2 linked regions of the Saccharomyces cerevisiae S288C genome follow. The gene in region 2 interacts genetically with the main gene of each other region. Each region holds a gene or a part of one and is shown on either strand. Other genes may lie near its edges.

What was found. A genetic interaction does not mean that the proteins touch.
Region 1: mutations in PTC1 (region 2) and YCK1 together harm fitness more than expected from each alone (negative genetic interaction), as found in Saccharomyces cerevisiae (4 studies listed by BioGRID).

What each region holds. Positions count from the first base shown.
Region 1 is NC_001140.6:372,194-377,270, forward strand, and holds YCK1 (serine/threonine protein kinase YCK1), read right to left. Parts: upstream 2,118-5,077; coding exon 501-2,117; downstream 1-500. Other genes in the region: metalloendopeptidase WSS1, read left to right, coding at 1-365; SPL2 (Spl2p), read right to left, coding at 2,461-2,907; ARO9 (aromatic-amino-acid:2-oxoglutarate transaminase), read left to right, coding at 3,516-5,057. UniProt on the Saccharomyces cerevisiae protein: Casein kinases are operationally defined by their preferential utilization of acidic proteins such as caseins as substrates.
Region 2 is NC_001136.10:433,556-441,254, forward strand, and holds PTC1 (type 2C protein phosphatase PTC1), read left to right. Parts: upstream 1-6,353; coding exon 6,354-7,199; downstream 7,200-7,699. Other genes in the region: APC11 (anaphase promoting complex subunit 11), read left to right, coding at 1-439; YDL007C-A (uncharacterized protein), read right to left, coding at 3,012-3,269; proteasome regulatory particle base subunit RPT2, read left to right, coding at 4,492-5,805; MED2 (Med2p), read right to left, coding at 7,459-7,699. UniProt on the Saccharomyces cerevisiae protein: Serine and threonine phosphatase. Involved in tRNA splicing and cell separation.

The DNA of each region.
Region 1 (5,077 bases), on a different chromosome or scaffold from region 2:
ACGACACATTTTTGGGGAACGGTCAACGTCTCGGTGGAAGAGCAAACTTACGTTCAAATAGATATCCTATGACAGGAATAAGTACTAACACAGGGATAGTGAGAAAAAGGGGCAAAGGTGTGAAGTTAGGGAGTTTGCATCCAGAGGGTATATCATCTATAGATAGAGGTAATTCCCCGAGAGAGTTGGCGGCTTTTGCAGCCGAAAGGAGATATAGAGATGATCGCTGGTGCGGAGAGACGAAGAATAACAAAGATCAAATAATAAGTGATAATATTAGCAGCTCCTTAGAAGTTGTAATCCTTGATGATGATGACGAGGTACTCCCGGGAGATACTCTTATCGAAGTTATTGATCTCACTTAATCTCTTGTCCACAGCGAAGAACTCGAAAATTATAAGTATGGTAAATGTCGTTTCGGTTGTAAAGTATACAGATATATTCACATTACAAAAAATGTAAGAAAGACGGTAGTCTTGCAAAAAATGTCATTTCTATATTTAGCAACAACCTAATTTTTGGAAAAAGCCCTTATGAGAAGCAGCTAGACTTGAATTATCGTCATTTGGGTGCTGTTCAGGAGTTCTTAAAGCAGCAGAAGGTTGTTGTTGTGGTTGATAACGAGCGCCAAACTGCTGAGATTGAGTTTGCGCTTGAGGCTGAGATGGAGGTTGGCCTGTTGCACGTAGCTGTTGCTGTTGCTGTTGCTGCTGTTGCAATTGTTGCTCTTGAAGTTGTTGCTCCTGAAGTTTTTGTTGCTGCTGTCTCTTTTGTTGTTCTTGCAGGTATTTCTGCTGGGTTTGATGCTGGTAAGCTTCATAAGAAGTAGGGTCTAACTTTGGTTTATATTGAGAATTGCGCATATCTGCCTCAGTTTTTTGAGCATATTGCTGTTGCTGTTGCTGTTGTTGGAGCTGTTGCATTTGGAGCTGTTGCATTTGGAGCTGTTTGTTTCTATGTTTTCTCGATTTTTCGTTTGGTGGATTTGGATGGCCGTATCCGTGGAGATTTGGCTTCTTGTTTATGTTAAGATCCCAACCACGGCCATCGTTCAGTTTCATCCAATCATATTGGCCGTCCGCGGTTTCACCTAAATCATCCAGTACAGATAGTAATAGTTTTCTATAGCCTTCATAATCGGGACACTCTTCAAAGGAAAGACTTCTGACGATTTCTAGATACCTGCCAAATTGCACAGGTAAGCCTTGAGCTAGATCGTAAACGTTAGTAGATCTTTTCTTTTCACCAATCTTTTCGTATTTTTGCTTATTGTTTGGAGCTTTTAAACCCTGCCAGGGTAAGTGGCCTCTCAAGAAATAAAAGAAAACGTGACCCAAGGCCTCCATATCATCTCTTCTGGACTGCTCTCTTCCAAGGTGAGTATTAATGGACATATATCTGGCAGTGCCGCTGAGTGATTTTTTCTCTCTATATGGGATGTGCTGTTTAGTTTTCGGATCACGATACTGTTTGGCCATACCGAAGTCGATCAAATGGATGTTGTTTGCGTCAGGTTGGCCGGGCCTTCCAATCAAGAAATTGTCTGGTTTGATATCACGGTATATCAAGTCATGTGCGTGCAAGTCTTCAATCAAAGTAATCATTTGGACAGCAACTTGCACAACCGTTTTGACAGAAAATTTTCTTCCACACCAATCAAATAAATCTTCCAAAGAGGGACCCAAAAGATCAATGACCAAGATATTGTGCAAACCTTCTTGGCCGAAGTAGTACGCGTAGGGGATATTGGGAGTGCCATTCAGAATTTTATATGTTTTATATTCATCTCTTAATTGAGGGGCCTCCGTTTTTCTGGGCTCGAATTTGATCGCGACGGGTACGCCATTGATCATATTAGTACCTTCAAATAGCACACCAAAGGAACCTTCCCCTATTTTTTTGCCGATCTTGTAATGTAGGCCGACAATAGTAGAGTCATCTCTGGAAGAGTTGCTGTTGGAGTTGGCGGCGGTCGTGGCGGTCATCGAAGATCTTGCGGGCGAGTCGACAGCCTGGTGGTGGAGTTGTTTGTTTGCTTGTACGTTAAAATTTGCGTTTCCGTTTATATTGGTGAGGTTGTTAACTGCTAGAGTGGTACTTGCTATGGGCATGGACATGGGGAAGAGGAGAGCAGGAAAAGGGCCAGCGAATGCGCGAAATTTTTGTATGTGTCTTTTCTCTACTATGGCATCCACATGAAAACCAGTCACAGAGCACTCAATGAACGGTTTGCGTTTGTTGTTTGTAAGAAGCAAGCAGAAATCAAAGACCCATGTATACGATCGCTGATTTGTTTTGTTCTGTTTTTTCTTGTTCCGGCGAAAAAATCGTAAGAAACGAAAGGAGAACGAGCCCACAGGCGGGGTAACATCAAAAGGATTTATATTAGATCGTAAAGTCAATGCATATGTAACAGTACAGAGGTAGAAGGTATGTATGTGTAACGATTAAGAGATGCAATCATGATTGTTCTTCGTCAGACGAATCTTCGAATATGTCTTCGTCAATGACACAGTCGTTCTCCCAAAAGTCATGGGCGAGCTTGCTTAAAACGGCGGCAGCGTTTTGACGCTGCGCTCTACTTGAATCTTTCTCATTAATGTACTCGTTATACTCTTTAAAAGTTGATCCACTGAGAGATTGTGACTGCGATGTTCTACGTGGAGTATAGTAACTAGCAGGATTGAGCCTCCTGCACTCTTTGAGCCTCAATAGAGAAGCGATCTCCTCGGAGAGTTTTCTTCCCTTATGCTGGTGACCATCTTTAAGTTGTTTGTGTTGTCCTTGTGAAACTGCTGTTTCCATTTTGCCGCGTGGAGACATCTGTCCAATTTGCCCCTGGCTCTCTGTAAATACCCATATATGAACGTTATATATATTGTATATTAATGGCGTATATGTGCCCATGGGAAGTCATAGTAATAGATCTAGGCACGTGGCTGCAGTGACTCCGCGCAGGGCTGTACCGCCAAGGTAGATAAGAGAGCGGAGCACGTGGGAAAAGAGAGATACGGTATGTTACAACAGTCAAAGTAATGAACTTTCGCCCACGTGCGTACATCATTTACTATCTCAGGCCGCTGCGTTTGGAACTTTACGGCGTTGTAGTTGTAATTGCCATAACTGCCATGCATTTATGTATATATATTTTCGTACGTAATGAACATGGTTATGTTATATATTGTTTGCAATCAGAGAGAAGTTGAAGAGGAGAAAAAAAAAAAGAGAGAGCCGTACCGCAATAAAATGGACCCTTGTCGGTCACGTGAGCAAAAATACTATTGCCGCCGACGGCCGTAGATAATAACAAAGGAATAAAAAAAAAAAAGCGGTAACTCGCGGAAGCATTGCCGATGCTTACCGAGATTTGCCGCGGATAACCGAACCATCATTGGGGTAGGAAACATTATAAATATTTGATATATATAAAGGAAAAAGCTTGATTTGGTCTTGTAATATCCCAGTGTAAACATAAAAATACACACATACCACAATTACACTCTCTCATCGACTCAATGACTGCTGGTTCTGCCCCCCCTGTTGATTACACTTCCTTAAAGAAGAACTTCCAACCGTTTCTCTCCAGAAGAGTAGAAAATAGATCTCTGAAAAGCTTTTGGGATGCTTCTGATATCTCAGATGACGTCATTGAGCTAGCTGGTGGAATGCCAAACGAGAGATTTTTTCCTATCGAATCTATGGATTTGAAAATATCAAAAGTTCCTTTTAATGATAACCCAAAATGGCATAATTCGTTTACCACGGCGCATTTGGACTTGGGATCCCCCAGTGAGCTACCCATTGCACGTTCTTTCCAATATGCAGAAACCAAGGGTTTACCCCCTCTCTTACATTTTGTTAAAGATTTTGTGTCCAGAATTAATCGCCCAGCCTTTTCCGATGAGACGGAGTCTAACTGGGATGTCATCCTTTCTGGCGGGTCCAACGATTCAATGTTTAAGGTTTTTGAAACAATTTGCGACGAATCGACCACTGTGATGATTGAAGAGTTTACTTTCACCCCGGCTATGTCCAATGTGGAGGCTACAGGAGCAAAAGTCATCCCCATCAAGATGAACCTGACCTTCGACAGAGAGTCCCAGGGTATTGATGTCGAATATCTAACGCAGTTGCTCGATAATTGGTCAACTGGACCATACAAAGACTTAAACAAGCCAAGGGTCCTATATACCATTGCAACGGGCCAAAATCCTACCGGGATGTCTGTCCCCCAGTGGAAAAGAGAGAAAATTTACCAGTTGGCCCAAAGACACGATTTCCTCATTGTTGAAGATGATCCCTACGGTTATCTGTACTTTCCTTCCTATAATCCGCAAGAGCCATTAGAAAACCCTTACCATTCTAGCGACCTGACTACTGAACGGTATTTGAATGATTTTTTAATGAAATCATTCTTGACTTTGGATACAGATGCCCGTGTCATCCGTTTGGAGACTTTTTCTAAAATTTTTGCTCCTGGATTAAGGTTATCCTTCATCGTTGCTAATAAATTCCTTTTGCAAAAAATCTTGGATTTGGCCGACATTACTACAAGGGCCCCCAGTGGTACCTCACAAGCTATTGTTTATTCTACAATAAAGGCAATGGCTGAGTCCAACTTATCGTCCTCTCTTTCTATGAAAGAAGCAATGTTTGAGGGTTGGATAAGATGGATAATGCAGATTGCTTCTAAATACAATCATAGGAAAAATCTTACTTTGAAAGCCTTATACGAAACAGAATCTTACCAAGCTGGTCAGTTTACCGTTATGGAACCCTCCGCGGGTATGTTCATCATTATTAAAATCAATTGGGGGAATTTCGATAGACCTGACGATTTGCCGCAACAGATGGATATTTTAGATAAGTTCTTGCTGAAGAATGGTGTTAAAGTAGTGCTTGGTTATAAAATGGCTGTTTGCCCAAATTATTCAAAGCAGAATTCAGATTTTCTAAGACTCACCATCGCCTATGCAAGGGATGATGATCAGTTGATTGAAGCTTCCAAAAGAATCGGTAGTGGCATAAAAGAATTTTTTGACAACTATAAAAGTTGAACAGTGAAGATTAAACCTAT
Region 2 (7,699 bases):
CACATCTGATGAGGACGCAGCCAATAACGATCCAATTGGCAATGATGAAGACGAGGATGTCTGTGGTATCTGTCGTGCCAGTTATAACGGTACCTGTCCAAGCTGTAAATTTCCAGGCGATCAATGCCCTTTAGTGATTGGGCTATGTCATCATAACTTCCATGATCATTGTATATACCGTTGGCTTGATACACCAACCTCAAAAGGACTGTGTCCGATGTGTAGGCAAACTTTCCAGCTACAGAAGGGTCTAGCAATTAATGACGCTCATGTCCAAAAGTTCGTTGAAATAGTTTCAAGAAGAAGAGAAGAAATGATAGAGGAGGGCGTCGCAGAAGAGTTTGTGGACTTTGATGAACCAATAAGGCAAAACACCGATAACCCAATCGGTAGACAGCAAGTTGATACCATCCTGGACGAAGACTTTTTGTTACGATAAAAAAGAAACTTAGAAATCACAATTAGCTATATTTCCATACGGTTCTTTTCTTGTGAACGCTGTTAACATTCTGTATACTTAAATGAAAATTTAATATTGATTTTTTCTTGTTGCAGCTAAAGATAAAAAAATTTTCTTTTCCAATCGTTGAATAGATGTACTGTAGCCGGAACTGAAGTTAAGGTTGTTAGATTGAAAAAGAACAACAGTGTACTAATCATGCTAACGATGACAGCGGTATCGTTGCATACTTAGAATACATAAAAATATGCTTCCAATCGGATTTGAACCGATGATCTCCACATTACTAGTGTGGCGCCTTACCAACTTGGCCATAGAAGCTTCTGATTTGTGTTCATTTGATTGTAAGTTAGAGTATTTCAAGCTCTAACTCAATTATGTGAACTTTCATAAAATTGTGTTATTTTTGAGAAATATGTGAGTTGTTAGATAATTGTTGGGATTCCATTGTTGCTAAAGGCTATAATATTGGTATACAGAATATACTAGAAGTTCTCCTCGAGGATATAGGAATCCACAAAAGGGAATCGATAGTTCTACATAATGTTATTATTTTATCTTCTTTCCTTTTATGCGTTGTCATTCATTATCCTATTACATTATCAATCCTTGCATTTCAGCTTCCATTAGATCGGATGACTGTTTCTCAATCTTTATGTCATCTTCTTACACCGCATGTGATAATATAATATTAAATAGATGATATTAGAGTTCAATTCCAACAATTTTCATTCTAGATAGCGGGAATATTACTGGGTATTCAGTATATCACAACGTCTCTTACAAGATAGAGGATACTACAAGAGGGAAGCAAGAATCATACATGGTAATGTTGTTTTTTCTTCCCCACATTTTTTGTTATCATTCGTTATTTATTATATTTTCAATGCTTGCATTTGCAGCTTCCATCTCATCTGATGACTGTTTCTCAATTCTTATAGTGTGTTATCATGTACGGTATTAGATGATGACATAAGGTTATGAGAAATTGTCGTCGAAGTTAAAGGAAGCTGTATTCTGTATACATAATACTATAGAATTTACAAACAGTGGAATTGCAACAATTATCAAATTATTCACCTAATAATCACCTTTAACATTCAGGGAGGTTTATTTTTGCTTCCGAAATTTTTACAGTCTACAGGGAAGAAATAAATATTTAGTTGAGAAAGTTTTGTTTATTTGTAAGTTATTAATTTGAAAAATAAATACCATAACTAGCGCAAAGCTTATAAAAGAGATGTTTGTTGAAAAATGCAGAAACCCCATATATAAAACCATGAAATGTCACAATGGACATGATGTACATTCTTGGAGATAACATCATATTCGAAATATTCAATATGCCCAATTGGTACCTGTTCTCCATACCCCATTATATGATACAAATGATCTGCCCCTATTCTAACACTGTGCTAGCAACATAGCAATTATACTAAATTTTTTCAGTCACTATGCAATACATGTAATCTCTCAACTACCAAGCAGTCATTATTCTATTAATATATATTTGTGCTTGGAAGTATTGTTTCACTTCTCAGAGGCCTTTCTTGACATGTTATAGTTTTTTAGGTACCTTCTAATCCTGTAAATTTATACAAAAATTGGTATATAATGGCTACCTCCGGAAATTTTAACAACTTTTGGGTCACACTATTACTGTGTATACTTCCTTTAGAGATCTCAAGCATTACTGAAAGATAACCTGAGGAAAAACATAGCGCGTCTACGGATGTGTAATACTCGCTGGATTTCCTGGTAAAAACTACTGTACATTTATCAGCTGCCTCTGCCAATGCTATTGAGAACCGTAGGTTCATTAGAATTACTTCATTCAACGGAAAACGTCACTATACCTGCCGCTTGTGTGTCGCGTCAGTAACGCCTTGACAGAAAAAGAAAGAAAAGAATATGACCGACCGATCGATGTATTATTATTATTGAACTGATTATAAAAAATTGGAACGTCGTAGAATCAGAAATCATAAGACAATGGCCAACTATGCCAAATCACACATCAATATTTAACCGAGATAGCAAAAGAAAATAAATTTCGATTATTTTTAAAATGTAACTGACAGTTTTTGGCACTTGTGGACTTCCTCTTTCCGGCAGATAGCAAAACCAACGGTAGAATGGCCCCGAAATTTAAATTTTATTTCATTGTGTGCTTGAGCGTGGCCTTTTTTTTTTTTTTTTTACATATCACAAACAATTCACACATTACCACACATACCATAAGCTAACGTATGCGGTGCAAAGTTCACTATTAGGCGCTTAAAGGCTTGGAACGAAATGACTTCTGGCTTTTGTTTCCTATACACATTCTTAGCAAAACTTTTGGTGTTGTAACAAGCAATGAGATAGAGAAAGAAATATATCCATCAATGGAAGAAATAGGCAGACGTCGGTAATTTTATTCTATTGAAAATATGCAAAAGTGACAGTATAAATTGAAGTAACTAATTTTACATCTAGTAAGCTGCTGTTGAAGAATTGAATAGTATCGCAGTATTTATTTTGTATACCCTTAGAATACACATACTTGGTGTTAGAAGCCATCTAATACACTATATAACTCGGGGATTAAATCATCTTGGAAGAGCGAATCTAGTTCAGGATCGCCTGTCGTAAAGTTCGAGGATAAGGACATCGAATTTAGTAGTAGTCCTAATGACTCGATGTTATTGTCTAAAATTTGTTCAATTTCTTTTCCTGATTTATCATCGTCTTCTTGAATAGGTAAACAGTAATATTTACCAAAGTTCAGGAGGGTTAGGATGGTGTGAAAAATTATAGGAAGGAACATCAAGAAAGTGCTTGAAATATTTTTCTTGGATTATGGAAGTATCAAGAACGATATTATTTCAATAATGTGATGGTTTATATCTTTGCATACAATAGATTTTGTGATACTTTTTTTATGTAATGGTCCCGTAACCCCGTCGCTCTTTCCCTTTTAATTTTGCCCGATCCACTTTCTATGCCGGTAGTTTAGCCGCCAAGTGCTATTTTCAAACGAATCAATAGTAGCGGCTGCAACTTTGAAAAAGAAAGAAACAAAATTATGCGCTAGTTTTCCATTTCTTGTATTCTTTTTTCTTTTGCGGTGGTAATTACGGGAATTTAGTGATGTTGGAACGAGAGTAATTAATAGTGACATGAGTTGCTATGGTAACAATCTAATGCTTACACCGTATATTAATGTACACCTCGTATACGTTTAAGTGTGATTGCACCTATTGCAGAAGGAATGTTAAACGAGAAGCTCAGACAATACTGAAGCTGTGCTAAAGATCTATTAATTGAACATGATATGGTAGGTACATATATGAGGAATATGAGTCGTCACATCAATGTATAGTAACTACCGGAATCACTATTATATTGGTCATGATTAATATGACCAATCGGCGTGTGTTTTATATACCTCTCTTATTTAGTATAAGAAGATCAATACTTATTTCTTCATTAATACTATTTTTTACCTCTAACTATCAACAAGTGATAATTGTTGGAATTCCATTGTTAATAAAGGCAATAATATTATGTATACAGAATACAGCTTCCTCTAACTTCTATGACAGTTTCTCATACCTTATGTCATCATCTAACATTGTACATTATAATATACTCGTAGTAAGACTACTAGTTGAGAGAGAATAGTTGATTTTTATTCTAACAAATAATATTCCAGCAGGTTTACATATTCCTAGGTTTGGGATATATCTTAAGTCAATAATTCATCATTAGTAAGGCAACTTGGCCGAGTGGTTAAGGCGAAAGATTAGAAATCTTTTGGGCTTTGCCCGCGCAGGTTCGAGTCCTGCAGTTGTCGTCATTTTTATATTCCCAATATTTTTATCACTCCGGGTAACGAGTTATTAACGGTTTTTCTCCGGTGGCAAATGTCTCTTTTCTTTTACCTAAAAGAAGGTTAATGTGAATATTAGTGAATATGATGCGTATCAGTGTCAAGCTTACAGTCAATTCAAGTTAAAGAAGAGACAGCGTTTTTAATAGAAAATAAAATGGGACAAGGTGTATCATCTGGACAAGACAAAAAGAAGAAGAAGGGATCTAATCAGAAACCCAAATATGAACCTCCCGTTCAATCTAAATTTGGTCGTAAGAAAAGAAAGGGAGGTCCAGCTACTGCTGAAAAATTACCCAACATATATCCAAGTACTCGTTGTAAGTTAAAGCTTCTAAGGATGGAACGAATTAAAGACCATTTGTTATTAGAAGAAGAATTTGTCTCTAACTCTGAAATTTTAAAACCCTTTGAAAAGAAGCAGGAGGAGGAAAAGAAACAATTGGAAGAAATACGTGGAAATCCATTGAGCATTGGGACCCTTGAAGAAATTATAGACGATGATCATGCGATAGTGACAAGTCCAACTATGCCTGATTATTATGTATCTATCTTATCCTTTGTCGATAAAGAGTTACTAGAGCCTGGATGTTCTGTGTTATTGCATCATAAAACCATGTCCATCGTAGGTGTTTTACAGGATGACGCCGATCCAATGGTTTCGGTCATGAAAATGGATAAGTCGCCAACAGAATCATACAGTGATATTGGTGGCTTAGAATCTCAAATTCAAGAAATAAAAGAGTCTGTAGAGTTACCGTTAACACACCCCGAACTGTATGAAGAGATGGGTATCAAACCTCCCAAGGGTGTGATTCTTTATGGTGCACCCGGTACAGGTAAGACATTGCTAGCAAAGGCTGTTGCAAATCAAACATCTGCCACATTCTTAAGGATTGTTGGCTCAGAGTTAATTCAAAAATATTTGGGGGATGGTCCTAGGTTGTGTAGGCAAATTTTCAAAGTAGCGGGTGAGAATGCACCAAGTATTGTATTTATTGATGAAATAGACGCCATTGGTACTAAAAGATATGACTCCAATAGTGGTGGTGAGAGAGAAATTCAGAGAACCATGCTGGAATTGCTGAACCAGCTGGACGGGTTCGACGACAGAGGGGATGTGAAGGTGATTATGGCCACTAACAAAATCGAGACTCTTGACCCAGCATTAATCAGGCCTGGGAGAATTGATCGTAAAATCTTATTTGAAAACCCTGATCTAAGTACTAAGAAAAAAATTTTAGGGATTCACACTTCCAAGATGAATTTAAGTGAGGACGTTAATCTTGAAACTTTAGTAACAACAAAGGATGATTTGTCAGGCGCCGATATCCAGGCAATGTGTACAGAAGCAGGTTTGTTAGCCCTTAGAGAGAGAAGAATGCAAGTTACAGCGGAGGATTTTAAACAAGCCAAGGAGAGAGTCATGAAAAATAAAGTTGAGGAAAATTTAGAAGGTTTATACTTGTGATGTGCCCATTTACATTTTTCTATAATAGATTTACGTATATAAGTAATGCTTCAACAAAGCTTAATATGTGTACATTTTGTATCACGTGCAATATTTGTTTCAAAAACTTAATATAGGTAGGGCGTCGGGGCCTTCGCGAATTCTAACTGCAAAGGAAAACTGGTGAACACATCTGAGAGGGTTTGTTGTCCTAATTTTATAGGAAACTAAAACTCAAAAGACAAAGTATACCTTTGCAAATTGAAAGCTTAGTTAAACATTATTATTCGTGTGTTTGAGGTCACTTTTTTTCGTCTTAAACAGCTCTCAAAGTTGTCTCAAAATTTTTATCCGGATTCCTTTACATTAACAGACCCCAAACACAACAAGTTTTGATAGTTTAAGTAAGTGAACGCTTATTTTTGTTGTCGTTGAAAAGAAAATAAATAGGCAGTATTATCAATTAGGAGGTGAGTTAAATTCCATTCTATACCGAGTATACGAGATTTTGCACATTCTTACTTCATATATCATTTAGGCACTGCATTTATCTTTTAAAAATCATTATAATGAGTAATCATTCTGAAATCTTAGAAAGGCCAGAAACACCATATGACATAACTTATAGAGTAGGTGTGGCGGAAAATAAAAACTCGAAATTTCGGAGGACAATGGAAGATGTTCATACGTATGTTAAAAACTTTGCTTCAAGATTAGATTGGGGATATTTCGCGGTGTTTGATGGACATGCTGGGATTCAGGCCTCCAAATGGTGTGGTAAACATCTTCATACAATTATAGAGCAAAACATTTTGGCAGATGAAACACGAGATGTTAGAGATGTATTGAACGATTCATTCCTAGCCATTGACGAAGAAATTAATACAAAACTTGTAGGAAATAGTGGATGTACTGCTGCTGTTTGCGTATTACGTTGGGAGCTTCCGGATTCAGTTTCTGATGATTCAATGGATTTAGCCCAACACCAAAGAAAGTTATATACAGCAAATGTTGGTGATTCTCGAATAGTATTGTTTAGAAACGGGAACAGCATAAGACTGACTTATGATCATAAGGCATCTGACACTTTGGAGATGCAGAGAGTTGAACAAGCAGGTGGCCTGATAATGAAAAGTCGTGTAAATGGTATGCTGGCAGTGACGAGATCGTTAGGGGATAAATTTTTTGATAGTTTAGTAGTGGGCAGCCCATTTACCACGAGCGTAGAAATAACTTCTGAGGACAAATTTTTAATCCTAGCGTGTGATGGATTATGGGATGTTATTGATGATCAAGATGCATGCGAATTAATCAAGGATATTACTGAACCTAATGAAGCTGCAAAAGTCTTGGTTAGATATGCTTTGGAAAATGGCACAACAGATAATGTAACGGTCATGGTTGTCTTCCTCTAAGAAGGATCCGTTATAAACCGCGCAAAAATTATGCATAGACATAGAGATATGCAATGTGTATGTGTGTATGTATGTATATGTATAAACGTACCAAATCTATTTTGCATGCATCTCTCACATGACGAATGAGGTTTTAGTAGAATAGGATTCCAGATTTTTAAACTGGAGAACATATTCTATCATATATATACCAATTAAATTCACGTAGCGAATGCACAACACGGTTTACAAGTCAATAGTTAACAATAGGAAGACCAAGCTATATATTGAAGCCGCTGAGGTCTAATTCGCCATTATCTCCAGTGGTCGACCAGTCAATATTAAGGTCGTTGAAATCATTTAATGTCAAGTATTCTTCACCGTTGTCGGCTGGAGGAGGGTTATCTCCAGGATTGGAAACAACGGTCGTTGGTAAATCATTATTAACTATATTTTCATTATCATTTCCGGTAGTGATAGAATTGTTCTTGTTATTGCTGTCGTTGTTGGTGGTATTGTTA